Oryctolagus cuniculus: one gene and its partners. The protein of the gene in region 3 purifies or fractionates together with the protein of the main gene of each other region. This does not show direct contact. Links are inferred from orthologs where the notes say so. Each region holds a gene or a part of one and is shown on either strand. Other genes may lie near its edges.

What was found. The genes of interacting proteins can lie anywhere in the genome.
Region 1: the proteins of SOX2 (region 3) and UBR5 purify together in Homo sapiens (affinity purification with western blotting; 3 studies listed by BioGRID and IntAct, with this or other methods). This does not show direct contact. The link is inferred for Oryctolagus cuniculus from reciprocal best matches to the Homo sapiens genes SOX2 and UBR5.
Region 2: the proteins of SOX2 (region 3) and ARID1A purify together in Homo sapiens (affinity purification with mass spectrometry; 3 studies listed by BioGRID and IntAct, with this or other methods). This does not show direct contact. The link is inferred for Oryctolagus cuniculus from reciprocal best matches to the Homo sapiens genes SOX2 and ARID1A.
Region 4: the proteins of SOX2 (region 3) and COP1 purify together in Homo sapiens (affinity purification with western blotting; 3 studies listed by BioGRID). This does not show direct contact. The link is inferred for Oryctolagus cuniculus from reciprocal best matches to the Homo sapiens genes SOX2 and COP1.

What each region holds. Positions count from the first base shown.
Region 1 is NC_091437.1:127,732,327-127,738,052, forward strand, and holds the start of UBR5 (E3 ubiquitin-protein ligase UBR5), read right to left. Parts: upstream 3,847-5,726; 5' UTR 3,720-3,846; coding exon 3,658-3,719; intron 1-3,657. UniProt on the Homo sapiens protein: E3 ubiquitin-protein ligase involved in different protein quality control pathways in the cytoplasm and nucleus. Mainly acts as a ubiquitin chain elongator that extends pre-ubiquitinated substrates.
Region 2 is NC_091438.1:144,805,900-144,811,568, reverse strand, and holds the start of ARID1A (AT-rich interactive domain-containing protein 1A), read left to right. Parts: upstream 1-1,823; 5' UTR 1,824-1,885; coding exon 1,886-3,055; intron 3,056-5,669. UniProt on the Homo sapiens protein: Involved in transcriptional activation and repression of select genes by chromatin remodeling (alteration of DNA-nucleosome topology).
Region 3 is NC_091435.1:97,880,474-97,884,486, forward strand, and holds SOX2 (transcription factor SOX-2), read right to left. Parts: upstream 2,801-4,013; 5' UTR 2,651-2,800; coding exon 1,664-2,650; 3' UTR 467-1,663; downstream 1-466. UniProt on the Homo sapiens protein: Transcription factor that forms a trimeric complex with OCT4 on DNA and controls the expression of a number of genes involved in embryonic development such as YES1, FGF4, UTF1 and ZFP206. Binds to the proximal enhancer region of NANOG.
Region 4 is NC_091438.1:4,385,688-4,391,380, forward strand, and holds the start of COP1 (E3 ubiquitin-protein ligase COP1), read right to left. Parts: upstream 3,847-5,693; 5' UTR 3,571-3,846; coding exon 3,155-3,570; intron 1-3,154. UniProt on the Homo sapiens protein: E3 ubiquitin-protein ligase that mediates ubiquitination and subsequent proteasomal degradation of target proteins.

The sequences.
Region 1 (5,726 bases), on a different chromosome or scaffold from region 3:
AGCAGATATATTCTGGAATGCAGGCCATGTGGAATAATGGAAAAGAGCAGTAAACTTTTAAAAAAAAAATCAAAAGACCCATCATGTGGCCCTCAGCTGTCTGTCAGGAGCTCATCATGTACTCTGGGATGAATTCCAGAAATCTCTGGGCCTGTGTCTTTGACTCCCTAGTACAAAGCCTGGCCTACAGGACTTCTCAGGCACTTTCCACTCTCCCGCCCCTCCGTCTCCACAAGCAGAACCCAGTTCTTGGAATGTTTCGCTGTTTCCCTGAGACAATGATTTAGGAAAGAACAAAGTACCTAACTCAAGAAATTCACTGCAAAGGAATCAAAATATCAGGCAAGTCTCCCAGTGGCTGAACAGTTTCAATTCAACTCAGTGAATGACTGAGGGCCACACCCTGGGCTCTCTGACCTCTCCTCTTCTGGCTGCCACAGCCATCCCCTGGTGCATTCATCAACTTCATTCATGCATCCTCATTACCATTAACTAGTCTGAAGACACAAATTAAAAAACAAAAATATGATGCGCGTTGTTATGTTTCACATATTTACAAAGTCTGAGGAGCCAGCACTGTGGCATAGCGGGTAAAGCCATCTGCAATGCCAGCATCTCACACAGAGCACTGGCTGCTCCACTTCTGAACCAGTTCCCTGCTAATGGCCTAGAAAAAGCATCAGAGGATGGCCAAGCCTTTCGGCCCCTGCTACCCGCCTGGGAGACCTAGATGAAGCTTGTGGCTCCTGGCTTCTGCCTGGCTCAGCCCTTGCTGTTGAGATCATCTGGGGAATGAATCAACCGATGAAAGCTCTCTCCCCCTGCAACTCTTTCACATAAATAAATATTAAAAAAAAAAAACACACATTTTAACATACAGGACTACTATTAAAGTGAAGAAAATGGGGTTGGGTATTGGAAGAAAACTCATTTAGGGAAGAAGATATTGATGATTAAGGCCCTAAAATCTTTCCTGAACAATTTATCTGCAGTACCACATTGCTTGCTTTTACTGCTTTTAGCGCAAAGAACTTTTCACTCGAAACTATCATTTATCATTTCGTTTGTGACGCTCACATTTCTCATATTAAAATGACGGAATATGGCCGGCACTGTGGCACAACAGGCCCCATGTGAGCCCCAGCTGCCCAACTTCCTACCCAGCTCCCTGTTCATGCCCCTGGGAAAGCAGCAGCACATGCTTCAAGTGGTTGGGCCCCTGCATCCTCGTGGGCACCCAGAAGAAGCTCCTGGCTTCAGCCTGGCCCCGCCCCGGCTGTTGGGGTCATTTGGGGAGTGAACCGGCGGATGGAGATCTCCCTGTCTGTTGTTCTTTCTGCAACTCGGCTTTTCAAATAAATAAATGTTTTCAAATAAATTAATAAAATTAGAGTCGCACATTCTTTTCTAGTATCAAAACTCACTAAAACATGGCAAATTTTTTTTCTGAAGATGAACATATTCTGGACTGCTGCCTCTGGTCTAAAAACAAATCTCATGCACTATGTGTGGCTTATTATTTTAAACCAGAAATGCCAAGAGGACCTTTCCTTTTGAAGGGGAGGCACAGAACAGCTCTCTCGCTGAAAGTCGGGGTGCGTAACTGTCCTCAATGCAGGCCACTGGCAGCTACCAGATACAACTCTACATCCCCAAAAGTACCTATCTGTTCAGGGATCTACCACCTTGTTGTACGCGTTACAGTCTAACTCAAATCCACTTGTCTTCTCCTTTAGCTCACTGGAAAAAAAAAAAAAAAAACTCAAGATGTTCATTCTTAATATTGTATTCTGATTCTGTAAGAATAAAAAGTAAAGCTAACTATTTCTTATTTCTTTATACTAGAAGAAAAGTAGCTTCAAAAGGATTCATTACTTGTTAATTCATTAATTGTTAATATGTGATGCCAAAGAAATGTGCAAAAACAAATCAAAGGGCCCCATACACTGCAAAATAGATTCTGATTTGCGCAGTCAATTGAGTAAGTTAGGACTCTTGGTAAACAAAGTTAGGACTAACGCAGAAAACATGCCCTACTTCTCTCCTGCTCTCGGTGCAATTTTCTATGTTAGAAGGCAGGTTACGGGACAAGCTGGAACAACTGGGTCTATGAATGACGGCAGAGCTACCCTTCACTACTGGCCTGGTTCTAAAATGTACAGAAAGTCCCCGAGTCTGCAAAAGATCTGTAATGGAAGAATCACAGCAAAATGTTAAATAATTGATAGAGGCTGTTCCAGTGTTGAGAAGGAAGTACATGCAAACTCCCAGTGGTTAAATTTTCAGAAAGTTTCACAAACACACGACACACAATATGGCTACGGCGAAGAGTGGACGAGCCCGAGTCCAGTGCCACAAACTAATAGGACCGCTGGAGACTGAGAGGCTTCGTGCCCCACCTGGGGTGACTGGGCACCCGGAGGCCGAGGGCAACATCTCAACCAGCGAGCTGGGCCTCTCCCTCCCTCCGGGAAGCACATGACAAGCCGGGCGACAGGCACCGTAAGTCACCCGGTCACTTAGCAAAAACGGAGTCTAACTTCTATCGCGGGGCCAGCCGGCCTACCGAGGGAGCCGGAGATCCTGCACACTTCTGGGCCCTCGCGAGGCCTGAACCCCGGACTCTAAGGCACGCTTTAATGGAAGCCTCCCTCGGCCTCCCCGGAGCGTCTTCCTGCCACAGCGAGGGAACTTTTCCTGCTTCATCTCGGCTCGCGCGGCGCGTGTGGCCCTGCAATTCAATATCCTAAACCGGCCAGCAGCGCCGGAGGACGCAGGAGAGGAGTCTAAACCCAAACAGCCTCTTTATGAAAGACAGAAAATCACTCCTCCTCCGCCCGGAGCAAACCCAGCCCAGAAATTCCCAGCGCTGCGAACTGCGAACCTCAGAGTTTCCCTGCGACCCGCCACGCACGGTTTTCAGCTGTCAGATTACAACTCGGGGAAAAGCAAACAACAAAGCGCGCACCCCGGGGGCTGGGGGCCGGAGCTGCCAGCACCATTTCAAAGGCACGGGAATCCAAGCCACTTCCCACCCCCGCCCCCACGCAGCCCCTCCCGGGGCGGGCGAACCTCGCTGCAGGGGCTCAGATTTAATAATAATAACAATAATCATGGCGCTTCCGCCCGTCGCCGCCCGCGATCCGCCGGGAACCCGCGGCTCCCCGGGGTCCGCACCGCCCCGGCCGGCCTACCCGGGGGCCCCCGGCCCCGCGTCTCCTCTTCCCTCTCTTTTCACCTCCACCATCCCCCATCCGCATTGTCTGTCTCAATTCAACTTTGACTAATATGGATTCCTCGGGGCCCGGGCCCCAGCGGCAATTCCAGCCCAGCCCCCCGGCCCCGGAGGAGTGGGGGTGAGGAACCGGCGCCCCCCGGCCCCGCCGAGCTCCACGCGCTCCTCGCGGGGAGGGGGAGGGGGCTTGCGGCGCGCTCCGCCGTCCACGCCGCGCGCGCCCCCAGCCCCCCGGGTCGAGAAGTTGACGGCGGAAGGGTCCTGGCGGAGGGGAGGGGGCAGCGAGGACCCCCCCGACACACACACACACACACACCCCCAGGAGGCCGGCGCGTAAACAGGGGCGCCGCCGGCTCGGCCCGTGGGGGAGGGGCGCGGGAGGAGGCGCCCCTCCCCCGCCCGTGGCCCGCCGTCCCTATTACCTGTCATTGAGCTGGTCCTCGGTGCCCGGCAGCGGGTGAACCACGAAATGGATGGACGTCATGGCGCTTCCTTCTCGTCCTCTTCCCGAGGACGGCCCCCTCCTGCTCTCGCCCGCCCCCCCCGGACCCCCTTCCCCTCCCCAAAACCCACAGCCGCCGCCGCCGCTGCCGCCTCCCAGTCCCCAAATGGAGGGAAGCCGAGGCGCAGGGGCCGCCGCCGCCGCCGCCGCCTCCCTGCCGGGCGTGTGTCCGCGGCCCGGCAGCCCGGCGGGGCGGACCGAGGCGCCACCCGCTCCCCCGGCGACAGCGCCAGGGAGTGCGAGGCCGGCGGCCGGGACCCCGGGGCGCGCCGCCGCCAGCGGCAGCCGGGCGTCGGGGGAAGGGGCGGCTGGGGCGGGCGGAGAGGGGCAGGCTGCGGGGACGCTGTGGTACCGGGCGGCGGACGGGGTCCGGATTAGGGGAGGTGGGGAGGGACAGAAGCCCGCACCGCGCGTCACAGGCGAGAAGCCGTCGCCGCCGCCGCCGCCATCTTCACTTCTGCCCCAGTTTCTCCGTCTCGCAGGCTCCGCTCCCGAGCGGCGGGGGAGGGGTGGCCGTGGGGGGGGGAGGCGGAGGGAGGAGACCGGCGGGCGGGGGCACGGCTGCGAGGGGCGGGGCTCCGGGAAACGGGCGCTAAGGCCCTTTCGATTGGGCGACTCAACGTCGTGGGGCCACGGCGCTGTAAGGCGCGTGCCGATTGGTCCGTTCGGCCCCCGAGCCCAGCCCCGGGCGGGGGGGTGGGATGGCTCGGGGAAGCGAGTGTTCCGGCGAGCACGTGTTAGGGAAGGCGGCGAGCCCGCCGGGGCGGGGCGTGAGGGGAAGCGGGTGTCCCCGAGGAGGAGGGGGAAGGAGGCAGAGGCGGGGGTGCTGCTCCTGGTGTCCCCCGGGGCCAGCCCTCACTGTGTCAGCGACCTTAGGGGGTTTCTGTTGTCATTGCTCCTCCCGCTCCCGCGGCTGTATTTAAAGTGGAAGTGCGGACTGAGTCGAGGGGCGAGGGAGACCCAGCCTTTCGGTGGAGAGGTAAGGTCGTTAGCTAAGGGCCTCTCCCAAGGGGATAGAGAGTAGATCGCGGAGCCCACTTGCAGCGACTCCCTTGATCGGCCTGGTCTCCCCCCTTCCCCCACCGCCATCACCCGTGCACGATGTGGAAATTTCCACTGGTTGCCTGAGTTACGTGATTCATGATTCTTTGTATTCCTTGTAAATGGGAGATGATACTCTTGTATACCTTATTGTACCCTGGAGTTCTGCAACTCTTGGTGGCAGATTCTCAAATGCATCTATGGGGTTTTCCAGGAAACCAAGTTCGTGGCTTTCTTCTCAAAGGTTTCTACGACTTCAGAAAATCAAGTAACCTCTTTCAGAGGGAAGCCCAGGAACATAAAGCCTCTTCTCCGGTGCGAGTGGATGTTGGCAACCGCAGGGGTTGTGTAAAAAGTTCTTGTGGAAGGGTGAATGTCGCTTTTCCTGTATTAATGCCTTGCACCTGCACTTTTTGCTTAAGGTCTTTTGATCAAAAATACATGAAGATGTATTTATAAATCAGGATAAACTAGGTACCCCTGAGACGGATAATAGGACACTTTTGTAGGTCACCAGCTGCAAGGTTGGCCCAGATTAGTTTAGACTGAAACGAGATTTCAAGGCCACCACTTATTAGTAATGAAGTCCGTGCAAATCCTGGGGAAGCAAGACCAATGGGCATTGATAGTTTTCCAGCCAGAAAGACCTGGATTTGAGTCTTCTTTTCTGCTGCTTAAAGATGTGGTCCTGGTTAGATTATTTAAGCTATCATAGCTACTTTTTTCTCCTTTGATAAATGTCCCACAGTAACAGATCTATACAAGGTCAGGGTGAGGTCTAAGTAAGGTAATGAATGTCAGGCACATTGTAGTTACAGCAAATGGAAGCTTCTATTTGTCAAGTGCTCACTGTGCGCGACTTGATACACCTATGTCTTTTAATACTTAAGTCCTACTATAAGGTAAATACTATGATCTCCGCTGTATAGATAGCCCTGGGTCTCACAC
Region 2 (5,669 bases), on a different chromosome or scaffold from region 3:
CCCTCGGGGGTAGGGTGACCCTGGACTTTTCCTGTGCACCGTGTTCTCTTCCGAGGAACCTGGCCTTATCCCCAGCTCCACCTGGGTCTCTTTAGAAGGCAGTGGCAAACTTACACTGGGGGACAGAAATCTGGGTGGCGTGGCTTGCTAAGCGACCTGATAGCTGTGCCTTTTCTCTCTGCTCTGCCCCGCTCTCTTGCAGGGGCTTGTTGGAGCTGGAGCTCCCATCCCGCCAGCCCCTGGAGCCTCTTCTGTGGGCTGTTCAGTCTTCTTAGGCACTCTTTGAAGACTGTTGGTCATGGTGGGCTGAGTTCCCTCAGGAAGTGAGCCTGGGGCTTGGGTTCTCCAGCTGGAAAAATGTCCTGTGTCCCCCACTCTGGGCGGGTGCTTGATGACAGAGCTGGGAGTTTGGATCTATTCTGATATTTTGACCCCATTGCTGCATTTGCTCACAATTTGACTTTTTTTTCTTTAAAGGCTAAGTAGACAGGAGGCAGCTTTGGAGACTCCACTTCTTTTTAAAGCTCCCCCACCCCCCACCCTCCGACGTTAAATGACCTGGGCAGTGTCCTCCCCTCTCGGTCTTTCAATTCTGTAAAATGGGGATAATCCCGACCTCGTGCCCCCGGGGACTTGTCAAGACCAGCTAATGAGGGCAGGGGAGTGGGAAAACGCAGAGTCTGAACAATGATCGCTCGGCCCTTGCAAAGGGGTTAGAAAGCAGGGCTCTCTCGGCTGAGTCTTTGGGGCCGGTTTGTAAAAAGGCTTTCAAGAAGAAAAGTGCTGTGGAGGTGCTAAGTAACAGCCAAGAGACCAGGCTCGCTGCCAGGGGGGTCAGGCCTGGGCCGAGGCGGCCGCGGTCTCGGGCTCTGGCCAATTTTGCAGGCGCGGGTAAAGTTCACGCTGCCCGCTCCCCACGGTGCGGCCGGGAGGGGACCGGCCGGGGATCGGCACGCCGGGAGGGAGGCGGCGCAGGCTCCGGAGGGGCGCGAGCTCCGGGCCGGGTTTTCCCCGAAGCCTTCGGCGGCGGTGCTGCCGAGCGAAAGCGGCCGAGGGCCTGCCGCCGCCGCGGCTCGCTCTCTTCCCCTCCTCCTTTGTGAGGGGAAGGGAGCGAGTCCATTCCGCGGCGGCACCCGCTCCGCGCTCCACTCCGGGTTTGCCAGGCGGCCGCGACGGCGCTGGGTAAAATGGCAGTGCTGAGCCTCGTGTCGGAGTGAGGGGGACTCGGAGGAGAGTGGGGCGCTCTAGCCGCTCAGTCCTGCCGCCCGCTTGCTCGCCCGCCCGCTGCCGCGCAGCAGCCGCGGCCGGAGCCGCGGCCGGGGAGGGGAGGCAGGGCGCCCGGCCCGGCCCGCGCGCGCCGACTCTGCCTCCCGGCGCCCCGGCTGCTGCCGCGCGCCCTCCAGCCCGCCCGTCCCGGGTCCCCCTCCCCCCGCTCCCTCCCTCCCTCCCCGCCCCCTCCCCCTCGCCTCCCTCCCTCCCTCCCTCCTCCTTTCTCCGGCAGCAGAAAGCGGAGAGTCACAGCGGGGCCAGGCCCTGGGGAGCGGAGCCTCCACCGCCCCCCTCATTCCCAGGCAAGGGCTTGGGGGGAATGAGCCGGGAGAGCCGGGTCCCGAGCCTGCAGAGCCGGGAGCAGCTGAGCCGCCGGCGCCTCGGCCGCCGCCGCCGCCGCCTCCTCCTCCTCCGCCGCCGCCAGCCCGGAGCCTGAGCCGGCGGGGCGGGGGGGAGAGGAGCGAGCGAGCGAGCGCAGCGCAGCAGCGGAGCCCCGCGAGGCCCGCCCGGGCGGGTGGGGAGGGCAGCCCGGGGGACTCGGCCCCGGGGCGGGGTGGGAGGGGGGGAGACGACGAAGACAGGGCCGGGTCTCTCCGCGGACGAGACAGCGGGGATCATGGCCGCGCAGGTCGCCCCCGCCGCCGCCAGCAGCCTGGGCAACCCGCCGCCGCCGCCGCCGCCGCCGCCCTCGGAGCTGAAGAAAGCCGAGCAGCAGCAGCAGCAGCGGGAGGAGGCGGGGGGCGAGGCGGCAGCGGCAGCAGCAGCAGCCGAGCGCGGGGAAATGAAGGCAGCCGCCGGGCAGGAAAGCGAGGGCCCCGCCGTGGGGCCGCCGCAGCCGCTGGGAAAGGAGCTGCAGGACGGGGCCGAGAGCAATGGGGGTGGCGGCGGCGGCGGAGCCGGCAGCGGCGGCGGGCCCGGCGCGGAGCCGGACCTGAAGAACTCGAACGGGAACGCGGGCCCTAGGCCCGCCCTGAACAATAACCTCACGGAGCCGCCCGGCGGCGGCGGCGGCGGCGGCGGCAGCAGCAGCGACGGGGTGGGGGCGCCTCCTCACTCAGCCGCGGCCGCCCTGCCGCCCCCAGCCTACGGCTTCGGGCAGCCCTACGGCCGGAGCCCGTCTGCCGTCGCCGCCGCGGCGGCCGCCGTCTTCCACCAACAACATGGCGGACAACAAAGCCCTGGCCTGGCAGCGCTGCAGAGCGGCGGTGGCGGCGGGGGCCTGGAGCCCTACGCGGGGCCCCAGCAGAACTCGCACGACCACGGCTTCCCCAACCACCAGTACAACTCCTACTACCCCAACCGCAGCGCCTACCCCCCGCCCCCCCAGGCCTACGCGCTGAGCTCCCCGAGAGGTGGCACTCCGGGCTCCGGCGCGGCGGCGGCCGCCGGCTCCAAGCCGCCTCCCTCCTCCAGCGCCTCCGCCTCCTCGTCGTCTTCGTCCTTCGCTCAGCAGCGCTTCGGGGCCATGGGGGGAGGCGGCCCCTCCGCGGCCGGCGGGGGAACCCCCCAGCCTACCGCCACCCCCACCCTCAACCAACTGCTCACGTCGCCCAGCTCGGCCCGGGGCTACCAGGGCTACCCCGGGGGCGACTACGGCGGCGGGCCCCAGGACGGGGGCGCCGGCAAGGGCCCGGCGGACATAGCCTCGCAGTGCTGGGGGGCTGCGGCGGCGGCAGCGGCGGCGGCGGCGGCCGCCTCGGGAGGGGCCCAACAAAGGAGCCACCACGCGCCCATGAGCCCCGGGAGCAGCGGCGGCGGGGGGCAGCCGCTCGCCCGGACCCCTCAGGTACACAGCTGAGCGGGGAGGGGGGCTGGGGCGAGCTGGGCCGGGCGGTGGGGGGGTGGGTGGCGGCTGCGGGGAGCAGGCCCCAGCCGTGGGCTCCGCTCGGTCCCGGGCCCCCACTGCTGGGGAGCTGCCATTGTCTGGCTCTTCTCTCTTAAAATGGCTGCCTGTCTGCCTTCTTCTCCTTCCCTCCTTCAGCCTTTGTGTGGGGCTTTTCCAGAGGTGTCTGCTGCCCGGCTCCCCCTCCCCTGGCCCCTGCGAACTCCGCGGGTCTTCAGGGGGGTGCGGGGCAGAGTGTGCGGGGAAGGGCCCGGCCTGGGGTGAGGGGGTGCCGGGGGCTCAGATCAGGGGTGTAAGCGGTGGTAGGAGCCCCGGAAGGCGAGCGAGCGTCCCCCTGCTCGCCTGCCGCTCCTCTCTGTGCCCCCTGCTTGTCTCTAGGCCGTCCCCCGTCTGTGCTCTCGAGGAGGGGCCCCTCGGGCCCGGGGGACCTCGCGGGAGGGTAGGGGCCTTCTTGGGGGCAGCTAGAGGCCGGCTGCGGTTCACCCCGGGCAGCCCGGCCATCGCCTGTCTTGGTCTCCGCCGGCCCAGTGGCCTGGGCTTCTCCCTGGAAGCGCTGGTAAACAGCTGAGTGATTGGAGTAGTAAGTGCAGATTGCTTTGGTTTGGGATTTGAATTATGGAGGTAAAATCCTTCTGTCAAAGCCAGGAGACAGTTGGTCTTAGGTTGACATCCTATCTGTGATCTGATTGGCTCCCCATCTCCTGCTCTTGGCCATTTATAATTGCCTCTGATGTAATGGTACAACAATCCTGATGAGCTCATAAACTTTTACACTCTGCTTTTCTGCCAGTGATAACCCAAACCATCGCTGCCACTATCAGCCTTTTTTATTCCAGAGCTGAAATTGGCTGTGACCTTGAGGAGGGAGGTTTAAGCCGCAATACTGTATCAGCAGGAGCAGAGCCCCAGACAGGCTGCCCTTGTTACATTGTGCCTGAAACAAAAGAGGAGGCCATGGCATTTTGCTTGTACCTTGGATTTATTTTGCTTGTTATATTTTATGCAGCCTGAAATAGATTCTGTGTTGTCCGAACAGTAGCTGAGTTTCTTCTCTACAATGGGTTTGCTGTTTGTTTTGGTTTTGTGACTTTCCTGATGGGATAAATGACTTCTTTGATGACTGTGAAGATGCATTTATCTTGAGTAATTCTGACACTGTTTGCAGAATTGAAATTATTTTGCTGTTTGGTTTTTTTTTAATTGAGTGGCAAATGTGGGACCTTTGTGGGGAGGGGGCATTTTTGGTTATCACTGTAATCCTTTTTAAAATGGGGAGCTTTCTTTGGGAATTTCATGTTAGATTCAAGTGTTCTGTTTTAAGCAAGGCTGGCCTCATTCTTTGTTTACATGTTGAATCTTGTTAACAGTTTTCTTTTGTTAATTAGACTTCGGGAGAGCAACTTAAAGAGAAACTGGTGTCTTTCATGATGTTGAGGGACTTTCTCCTGAAGGCTTGCTTTGGCGAAATTATTGTCTCTTCCTGGAATAACAAAAAGGCTAGTTTTTTGTTTTTGCCATCACTCATTTGGAGCTTTGAGATAGAGACTGGTCAGTTTTTTTTGCTTTGCATTTCAATGTATGTTCTGTTCCCACCCCCCCTTCTTCCAAGATACAGACATATGACCTATAGATTTGCCTAGACATTTCCAACGTGTAGGTACCGTTTTGTACACTCTATTTTGTTTTCATTTTGCTTTTCTTCCTGCTCAGCAGTGCCTTGGCCAGGAATATTGGGTAGTCGATGGAGTTGCGTATCTTTTTTCAAGGAGGGGAAAGCCCTCTTATGCACCCACTCCCATGTGTACTTTTGTGCTAAGAAATCAACATTTTGCTTAGTTGGCCTAATCAACTTTGTTCTTTCCTCATCCTAGAACTGCTTTTTACACTTGCACTGTGCTGGGAGTTTTGAAAATAGCTGTGTTAGATGGTGGGCTAAGAGCTCTGTGCCTTGACTCTGCATCTACCCTAATGTTCTACATCTGGGCAAGAAAAAGGGAACTGTTGTGTTCCTGGTGTTTGGAGGATAAGTTTTGTCTTAGAAGACAGAGCATCCTCATGTCTCTGGGTCGGTCTGTAATCTGTACCTCTTTTCCTTATTTAGTTGTTGGCTGAAAATTTTACCTTTCTGGAGAACTCTTAGAGGAAACTCTTTGGGATAAGTCAAGACTCACTTAAAAGCAAATTTGATTTTAATTCTGTAGCTTTGGGGGTACTTAGGGAAACTTTTTGTAAAAAATAAAACCAACTTTCGCCCTGTAGTGATTTTTCAGTCATTAAATAATCAAGCACTTTCTGTGTGTTGGGTACTGTGCTCTGTTCTGTGGCAGGCAAATGGTAGGAAAATAGGTAGAGTCTCTGTGCAGAAGCCTGTCTGTGCTGCCTGGGATGCGCTGCTGGAGTCTCTTGTTGGCGCACCAGTCGGAGCACTGCACACGACATAGGTTCCTGTTCAGTCGCCTGCCGCACTGAGGCTCAGGGACTGGCTGCTGGGAGTCGCCGCAGTTTCTAGTTCTGTGGGCTGCGTTAGGTGTGTGGCCGTGATCTAAGTAAGGGTCGT
Region 3 (4,013 bases):
ATCACTTCCCCCCTATACCCAGGTCTCAAAGGGCCATTGTGCTGTGAAGAAAATGAAAACAAAACCAGCCGACCTGGTTCTGATTTGGCTCAATACCCCATCTGCTAAGCTACAGGAAAAATTCTAGAATCAACTCCTTTCTGGCAACAAGTGGCATAAATCAGGTTAAAGTCTGAGTCCCCACAGTGCTTCTGCAAGCTGCTAGCAAGGGAGCGAGTGGGTTTGACGCTATATGCCTCTAGTTCCTACTTCGGAAATGACACAAGCAGTTCAGATTCAGAGTACTTACTGCTCATCCAGCCAGTTCTTTTCCCAGTTAACATTAGCGCGCTGCTGGACTAGTCAGCCATACCAAGGTTTTTAGGTATTTATTTTACTTTCAAGGTTGAGCACAGTATTGTAAATAATTTCCCCAAGTTAATGTATCCACCAGTGTTATCCAAGTAAATGAAAGACTCAAGCATAATTTCAGTGTCCATATTTCAAAAATTTATTTATCTCAAACTGTGCATAATGGAGTAAAAACTTAAGTTGAAAATGTACCTGTTATAAGGATGGTATTAGTTCAAATATATACATGGATTTTCGGCAGACTGATTCAAATAATACAGAGCCGAATCTTTTAAAATACAACTACGGAAAATAAACGGGGGGAGGGGAGAGGGAGGGAAACCTTAAAATATCACAATAAATTTACAGAAATATTACAAACCATAAGAAAATATTTCAAACACAGTAATATCATGTCATTTTTTTATCTGAACAAAATGGAAAGTTGGGATTGAACAAAAGCTATTATAAATTACCCACGATGTCGACCTGCATGGCCATTTTTGCTTTTAACAGTAAGTTAAAAAAAAATTTAGTACAATGTAAAACTCTTGCCCCCCCCCCTTTTTGAAACAAGACCACGGAGATAGTTTTGCCAGTACTTATTCTAATTTTTTTCCTTTTGTACAATTTTTAAACAATTAAAATGTCCAAATCTTATTAATTTTCTTCTTTCCACGTTTGCAACTGTCCTAATCTCAGCTGCAGAAACAAAATTCAGCAAGAAGCCGCTCCTTGAAAATTATTGGCAAATTCTCAGCTTATAAACAATGGACATTTTGATTGCCATGTTTATCTCGATAAATACTGTACAAAAGTTGCTTGCAAATATTAAAACTTTTTTTTTCGTCGCTTGGAGACTAGCTCTAAATATTATTGGTAAAGACTTTTGCAAACTTCCTGCAAAGCTCCTACCGTACCACTAGAACTTTTAAAAAGTTTTTTTGTAGCTTTCTTTTCCTCCAGATCTATACAAGGTCCCTTCCCCCGCCCTCCCCACCCCTCCTCCCCCCTCCCACGGTTTTCTCTGTACAAAAATAGTCCCCCAAAAAGAAGTCCAGGATCTCTCATAAAAGTTTTCTCGTCGGCATCGCGGATTTGGCGTGAGTGTGGATGGGATTGGTGGTCTCTCCCCTGCAGCTGTCATTTGCTGTGGGTGATAAAAGATTTTTCTTTTCTTTTCTTTTTTCCTTTCTGTCCTTCTTCTTTTCTTTTTTAGCGTACCGGGTATTTTTCGCCATGCTGTTCTCACTCTCCTTGTGCACCTCTCCCCATTTCCCTTGTCTCTGCGACACCCACTTCCCCCCTCCTGCAGTCCGCCGTCCGGCCCCCCTCACATGTGCGAGAGGGGCAGTGTGCCGTTAATGGCCGTGCCAGGCACCGGGCCGCTCTGGTAGTGCTGGGACATGTGGAGTCTGCTGGGGGCGGCGGGCTCGGGCACTTCGGCGCCGGGGAGGTACATGCTGATCATGTCCCGGAGGTCCCCGGCCTGGCAGGGCGCCCTGGAGTGGGAGGAAGAGGTAACCACGGGGGGGCTGGAGCTGGCCTCGGACTTGACCACCGAGCCCATGGAGCCGAGCGCCATGCCGGGGGTGCCCTGCTGCGAGTAGGACATGCTGTAGGTGGGAGAGCCGTTCATGTAGGTCTGCGAGCTGCTCATGGAGTTGTACTGCAGCGCGCTCACGTCGTAGCGGTGCATGGGCTGCATCTGCGCGGCGCCGTGCGCGTTGAGGCCCGGGTGCTGCGGGTAGCCCAGCTGGTCCTGCATCATGCTGTAGCTGCCGTTGCTCCAGCCGTTCATGTGCGCGTAGCTGTCCATGCGCTGGTTCACGCCCGCGCCCAGGCCGGCGCCCACCCCGACCCCGCTCGCCATGCTGTTGCCGCCGGGGGCCAGCAGCCCGCCGGGCAGCGTGTACTTATCCTTCTTCATGAGCGTCTTGGTTTTCCGCCGGGGCCGGTATTTATAATCCGGGTGCTCCTTCATGTGCAGCGCTCGCAGCCGCTTGGCCTCGTCGATGAACGGCCGCTTCTCCGTCTCCGACAAAAGTTTCCACTCGGCGCCCAGACGCTTGCTGATCTCCGAGTTGTGCATCTTGGGGTTCTCCTGGGCCATCTTGCGCCGCTGCCCGCGGGACCACACCATGAAGGCGTTCATGGGCCGCTTGACGCGGTCCGGGCTGTTCTTCTGGTTGCCGCCCGCCGCCGCCGCCGCGCCGTTGCCGCCGCCGCCACCGCCACCGCCGCCGCCGCCGCCGCCGCCGCCCCCCGAAGTCTGCTGCGGGCCCGGCGGCTTCAGCTCGGTCTCCATCATGTTGTACATGCGGGCGCTGTGCGCGGGCCCGGCCCGCCGGCGGCCGCCGACCCTCGGCGCGGCTGGGACTCGGGGGCCCGCGGGCGGGGGCGAGAGGAGGAGGGGAGGCGGGCGGGGGTGCCGCGAGCGCGGAGACCGGACGGAGAGCAATTCGGGGGAAGAGAAGGGAGAGAGAGGGAGAGAGGGAGAGGGAGAGAGGGAGAGAGGGAGGCGAACTGGAATCGGGATCAAAAAAGCAGCGCTTCCCTCCGCCTCCGGCCGATGCCGCCGCCGCCGCCGCCGATTGTTATTATTATTATTATTATTTTTTGGAAAGGCTTAAGTCTGGGGCTCAAACTTCTCTGCCTTTTCTTTTCGCTCTCCTCTTCTTTCTCTCGGTCCCGGTCTTAAAGAGGCAGCAAACTACTTTCCCCCTTTTGCAAACACTCTCTTCTCTGCCTTGACAACTCCTGATACTTTTTTGAACAAGTTAATAGACAACCGTCCATGTGACGGGGGCTGTCAGGGAATAAATGGGTTTCTCGCGACCAATCAGCGCGCGGCGGCTCCTCCACTCGGGCCCGGCCTCGCCGCCGGCTTTTGCATGAAAGGGGGCGGGGCCTGCGGCGCCGGCGGCCGCGCGGGGGAGCGGGCGGGCGCGGGGGCGGGCGCGGCGCGCGCGCGCGCGGCGGGCGGGGGACGCGGCTCCCCGCGCTGGGCCGCCGGCCGCCGCGGAACCTTTGTATGCCCGCTCGCAGCAACAGGTCACGCCACACGCCGGTTCGAAGCCAGTGGGGGAAAAGGCGCGGAGACGGCGTGGGGGGTGCACACCGGCCACCCCCCCACACCCCGACACCCGCTTCCTTCTTCTTTTAAACTGATTGACTTTTAGGTGCGGGCGCAGGAACGTGGAGGGGGCGCGGCCCTGTCCCCCTACCCCCCAGCCCTCCCCCTCCCCGCCGCGGCTGCCACTTCTCCCCCCACCCCCCGGCCTCTCTGGCCTGCACAGGTGCCAGCACCCACCCCTCTGGAAGGTCCCAGCTGGAAGTTAGGAGACCTCCCCTCCCGGAAGCCCCGGCCCTCGAACCCTCAAACCAGCCCTGTTCTTGAGCTCCAGCCGCGCGGAGCGGAGGCCAGGCAGCCCCCGGCTCCCAGCGCAGGCCGCTCGGTGCCAAGGAGATGCGCCCCAGCACCCCCCCAAGGGCGGATTTCACTGGTGCCAGCTTCCCCCGGCGGGGCGCGGAGGGCGGGCGCGCGCGAGGGTGGCGGCCACTTCCTGGCCTCCCCCGGCCCTGCTCGGAGGTGGCCTCCGGGCCACGCTCGCGGACTCCCGCCCACGCGGAGTTCCCAGGGCTCGGGGCCCGGGCCGCGCTGGCATCTCCCCCGCCGGCTG
Region 4 (5,693 bases), on a different chromosome or scaffold from region 3:
CTAGATGGCTAGATACAAGTACCTTAACTTACAGATCTAAAATTCTCTAACTACATTCAAAGAAAGTTCTAAATTAACAATGTTGAGATGCAAGTTTTCATTTTGTTCCTGAGCTGCCCAATCTAAAAGAAAGCTACTTATCTTCTCTGTGCTTCAAAAGCAATTGTATTTTTTTTTTTTTTTTGGACAGGCAGAGTGGACAGTGAGAGAGAGAGACAGAGAGAAAGGTCTTCCTTTGCCGTTGGTTCACCCTCCAATGGCTGCCGCGGCCGGCGCGCTGCGGCCGGCGCACCGCGCTGATCCGATGGCAGGACCCAGGAGCCAGGTGCTTTTTCCTGGTCTCCCATGGGGTGCAGGGCCCAAGCACCTGGGCCATCCTCCACTGCACTCCCTGGCCACAGCAGAGAGCCGGCCTGGAAGAGGGGCAACCGGGACAGAATCCGGTGCCCCAACCGGGACTAGAACCCGGTGTGCCGGCGCCACAAGGCGGAGGATTAGCCTAGTGAGCCGCGGCGCCGGCCAGCAATTGTATTTTTAAAAGACAAGTTCTCTGTAAGCTCACAGAACTGCTGTAAGAATAAAATGAAATGTTAAGTATAAGCCTATGCTTAAAATGTGCTATAGACGAATAAGCAATCATCATTATTATTTGAACTTGACCTCACTTGGATATAAAGGTGCAGAGTAATTTGAATTGGTCAACAGTTTGACCTTGAGGCATACAAGACCAGACCAACCAACCACCAGAGCCAATCAGAAATGAAAAGGATTCCTTGGGCCTTGCCTAATTCATATCCTCTTATCCCAAGAGTTTGGCCAAGAGCAAATCTGGCTTAAGAAACAGAAAACGGTCTCTCATTAGTTAATTCCACTGAATATTCAAATTTTCCAGATAAAGAAGCAACAGACAAAAGAGATTCCTAGACAGAAAGTGAAATATTCAGAGTTTTTACCTAAATATTTTCATTGGATGTTTCCACACTAGAAATCAATAGTCTAGGCAACATGGTTAGGACTCAAAACTAGATTGAAATTTTTAAAAGTTGGGGTTGGCGCTGTGGCACAGCAGGATAATGCCCTGGCCTGAAGCGCCGCTGGCATCCCATATGGGTGCCGGTTTGAGACCTGGCAGCTCCACTTCTGATCCAGTTCTCTGCTGTGGCCTGGGAAGGCAGTAGAATATGGCCCAAGTCCTTGGGCCCCTGCACCCGTGTGGGAGATCTGGAAGAAGCTCCTGGCTTCGGATCAGCGCAGCTCCGGCCGTTGTGGCCAACTGGGGAGTGAATCATTAGATGGAAGACCTCTCTCTTCTCTCTCTCTCTGCCTCTCCTCTCTTCTCTGTGTAACTCTGACCTTCAAATAAATAAATCTTTAAAAAAATTTAAGTGATAAATAAAAATTTTAATAAAATTTTAAACTAATTAAATATCAGTGCCATCTACTCCTACAACGTATTTTACAGTACACAGAAACTCATAGGGTGTTTGGCAAAAAGCAAATGTCAAATAACTATCTGTTAATTGAAAATGAATCTTGATGTGAATGGAATGGGAGAGGGAGTGGGAGATGGGAGGGTTGCGGGTGGGAGGGAAATTATGGGGGGTGGGGGGAAGCCATTGTAATCCATAAGCTGTACTTTGGAAATTTATATTTGCTAAATAAAAGTTAAAAAACAACTATCTGTTGAGTGACTGAATGATTGCTTCCCTTATTTCTCACCTCTTCCATACTATTTCAGTGATCTACACAGATGCTGACATGTTTGTTTTCTTTTAGTCTATTGAAAACTGAAAAGCAAATAGTGTTTACAAAGACAACTAAATTCTGCAGACTCCCACTATTTTATTATCTTTTACCTCATGGTGTGGCTCTATTGGGACTGGGAGGGAAGGCAAGCAACTCTTAGACCCAGCCACAGACTGTTCAACTTATTTATGAACAACAATCCCAAGTATAGCCCAGTGTCAATTTAAAAATGAACTAACTTTGAATCCAGAATAAAAGCAGAATTATGAATAAGGATGTAATCCTTCTGCAGGAACAAGAATCTGTCTGCACATCTAATCAATGAATGTTCCCGATCATTTCCATTTCTAGCCCTATCATGCTTACTGACAATTCCGATTATCTTCAACTTCCCCCATGAATGTGCAAGCCAACTTCCTACACTCACTGAAAGTTCTATCAACGAGCCTTCCTGCAGGAAGGGCACAAATCCCTGTCGGTTCTTAATCAGCTAAAAACTGCTGCTGTCTCATAATCCTACCAACAGTAAGCACAGCCTAATGAAAACCCCAAAACGGACTCAGCAAGACAATGAACTTCACCCTTCACTGAAAGTAACCAAATCGCCTTTGAGTCAAATACAACCACATGTTACTGTGTATCATTCAAGATGCAACCATGATGACAAAATGTCTACACGGAGCATTTCAAATCACTCAAGTTTCCGTGTACTCAGTTATACAGTGTAAAACAATTACACCTGACCCACGGATAATATTTCATCAACGTGCTTCGTTCTTTCAAGAAACCCACCTGACAAGTGGAATTTTTTTGTGCACAGACTGGCTGCTGTAGCCTCAAGAGCAGATTTAAAACTAATCGCCTTAACCATTGAGATGGAAAAGGAGAGATATCTATATTCACACACGATGGGTGCTTGCACTAAACCCCTCTTCCTAAAACACCCACACCCATGTTCAGGGCATCATCCAGCACACTTCCTCTGAGGACATTCTGACCAACTCCATCCCTCAGCATCCCAGCAGGAAAGATCCTCTCCCTTGGCAAATTGAATTCACCACCACGGGTACTGTCGGGTCACCAAACAGCCAAAACGTTCCAGACCCCACCTCCTCGCCCAAATTTCTCCTGGTAGCAACGACCACTGACCTGACCTTGCACGCCTCCCGGCGCCCCCGTGCACTACTCCCCAGCGCCTCTTTCTCTTGCTGCGGCCGACCCTGCCTCGGGACGCCCGCACTGCCCACCCCAGCACCCCCGAGCCGGAACGTGTCTGCAAAGCATCGGATCCCGCTGCAGGCGCCACTTCTGCACCAGCATCCCGCGCTCTCCCGCACTGCAGCCCGCCGGCCCCAGGCACAGAACTCCCGAATTCGCCAGCGGGAAGCGGGGTGCTCTTCAAACCCACCAGACGAAGTCGTTGCTTTTGTCCTCGTAGGAGTTGAGGAGCCCGTTGCAGAGAGGGGCGAGCAGGGGTCGCTTCCTGCTGCCGCTGCCGAGGCTGGAGCTGCTGCCTCCTACGCCGGCGCTGGGCCTGGCCGCGCAGCTGAGCCGGGACAGGCCCGCCGACACCGCCCCGCCGCCGCCGCCGCCGCCCGACACGGCGGCCGCCACCAGCACAGGCCGCGCCGGACCCCCGAGGCCGCCCGAGCCCGCGGCCTGCGCGGCCCCGCCGGACCCCAGCGCCGCCGCCGCCGCCGCCGCCGCGGCAGGGGGCGACGGGGAAGAGGCTAAGGACGAGGAGGCGGAAGTCACCGAGGAGGCCGCCGAGGAGCCGGGGCTCGTCCCCGCGGAGCCGGAGCCGGCCTGGCGGCTGCTGGACATCCTGACTGCCGCCCCTGCGGCCGGCGCTGGGGGCCGAGGGAGCGCGACCCTCCGCCGCCTCCCCGCCCCGCCTCAGTGCATCCTGAGGGCGCGCGCCGCGCCGGGAGGTGGGGCGAGGAACAATAAAGTTGGCTTTTTCTTTTCTTTTTTTTTTTTTTTAAAGGCAACCACACACCAGCGCGCGACGGGAGGGGGCGGAGGAAACTCGTCGAGCGGCGTCGAAGCCACTGCCGCCCTCGCGGCCGCCGCCAACCCCGGCGCGTCGTGGCCGGCCGTGCGCGTGCGCGTGCGCGGCGGAAGGGGCGGGCGCGGCGCGCGCTACAACTCCGGGAGCGTCCTCGGCCGGAGACTCCCCGGTCGAAAGCGGCGTTCGTTCTTGACGTAGGCGAGGGCCTTCTTGGATTGGTGGGATGGAGAGGAGTGGGATGAATGGTGAGGGGTGGCGCGGCGGCTTGACGGACGGCCGGAGGGGCGGGGAGAAGCGCTCGGGAAAGCGACTGCGCACGCGCGCCCGCCGGAGGCGCCGACGCTCGCGGGGCACCCCGGGTGCCCGACCCCGGCGCGGCCGCGCGGAGGCCGCATCGCGCATGCGTGCGTGCGTGCGGGCGGGCGCACCGCCTTCCGGAAGGCGCGGTGGGAGTGGTGGCTGTCTCCTCAGAGGCGGGCGGTGTGGCTCGGTGGCGAGGGCGCAGGTGTCTGGGGGCGCACGGAAGGAGCCGAGAAGCGTGGAGCAGCTGTAGAGGTCGCCGGGCTGGCTCTGCTGAGGTGAATCGCTTTTCCCCAGCGTCGCCGGTGACAGCTGGTGAATGGCAAACGTCATGGCAGGCGTTCCCGGTTTCGCTCCCGTATTTTGAAGAGTTTACTAAATTTAACACGGCAACAATGGGAAACCGCGTGGTGCTTAACCAGAAGACAGCTGTGTCAGAATCCCGGCTTAACATTGGCCTGTTGCAGTTGTAGCACGAAACGAGGAAACCTGGCCCGTGGCCCCGTTAGAAATGTGCACTTTGGAGTAGGCTTTTTTTTTTTTTTTTTTTGAGTATTGGAAACGGCGGACTCTCTTACTTGCCGCCCTTGAGAATCCCTAACATTCTGGAAGATGCCAGATTTGCTCTGTCCTGGTGCTGACAAAGTCTGTTGGCACCGAGGGGCTTTCTCTGGGAATAACTGGCCATGCTGGCGGGCAGGGCCGAGGAAAGGCTTAGAGAGCCCCAGCAGCGCCGACCGGGACTTTGCCCTGGGCAGTAGCCATCGCCAGGCACCTGCCATCCTAGTCCCAGCTTCGTGGGCTGAGCTCAGGGTTTTGCTCAGATGATGTAGGAACGAGCTTTCCAGGTTTCTGAAAACAGCTCTTGCAAGAAAGTCTTGCATCATCCGAATTGTTGTTTAAAGTTCTCCTTCAAGACCCAGTGGAAGCGTGAAGTGGCAGAGATCTTTGCACCCTCCTTTGTGCAACCAGGATATTCCGTTTGCCCTTGTAACGTTGCATTTTAGTGCTTTACATGCGACCTCCATCAGCCGTGTCAGCTTTCAGCTTATATTGTGCTCGTGCCTGACCTGTGATAGGTCTGCATTAAACATTTCTGTGTTACCATGAATAACCCTATTGATCATCTCATTTTTATTTAACATCTGTATTTCCAGCTAAATTATTAGCCTATGAAAGCAAGTACCATATGGGGCATTCAGTAATTATTTGATGAGGGAATGCATAAGTAAATTGATGGTGAAGATTTATTAAATGCTCACTATGCGTTAAGCCTGGATTGCTAGAAAGAAAAAGTTTATAAAAACATTGTTTCTGCATTTAAGAAACCAATGGAATAATTGAAGAATTAGGAATAAAGGTAATAATATCAAGGAGCACATGCTAAATGCTTAGCAGGTGAAGTAGAGAGTCACCATAGGAGTTTGGAGCAAGAGCATATATAAAGGGCCAGCCCTTTTGCTGGAGGCCTTAAGAGAAAAATATGGCTTGGTTAATCAAAAAGTATAAAGTTATCATTCTAGAGACAAGCTTTCAGCAAATTCAGATTTCTGATAGAGAAAGAACAATTCTCTAGGAGAAATTTCTCTGGAGACTATATCATCAAGACCTCAAATTTAGTCTGAAAAATAGCCAA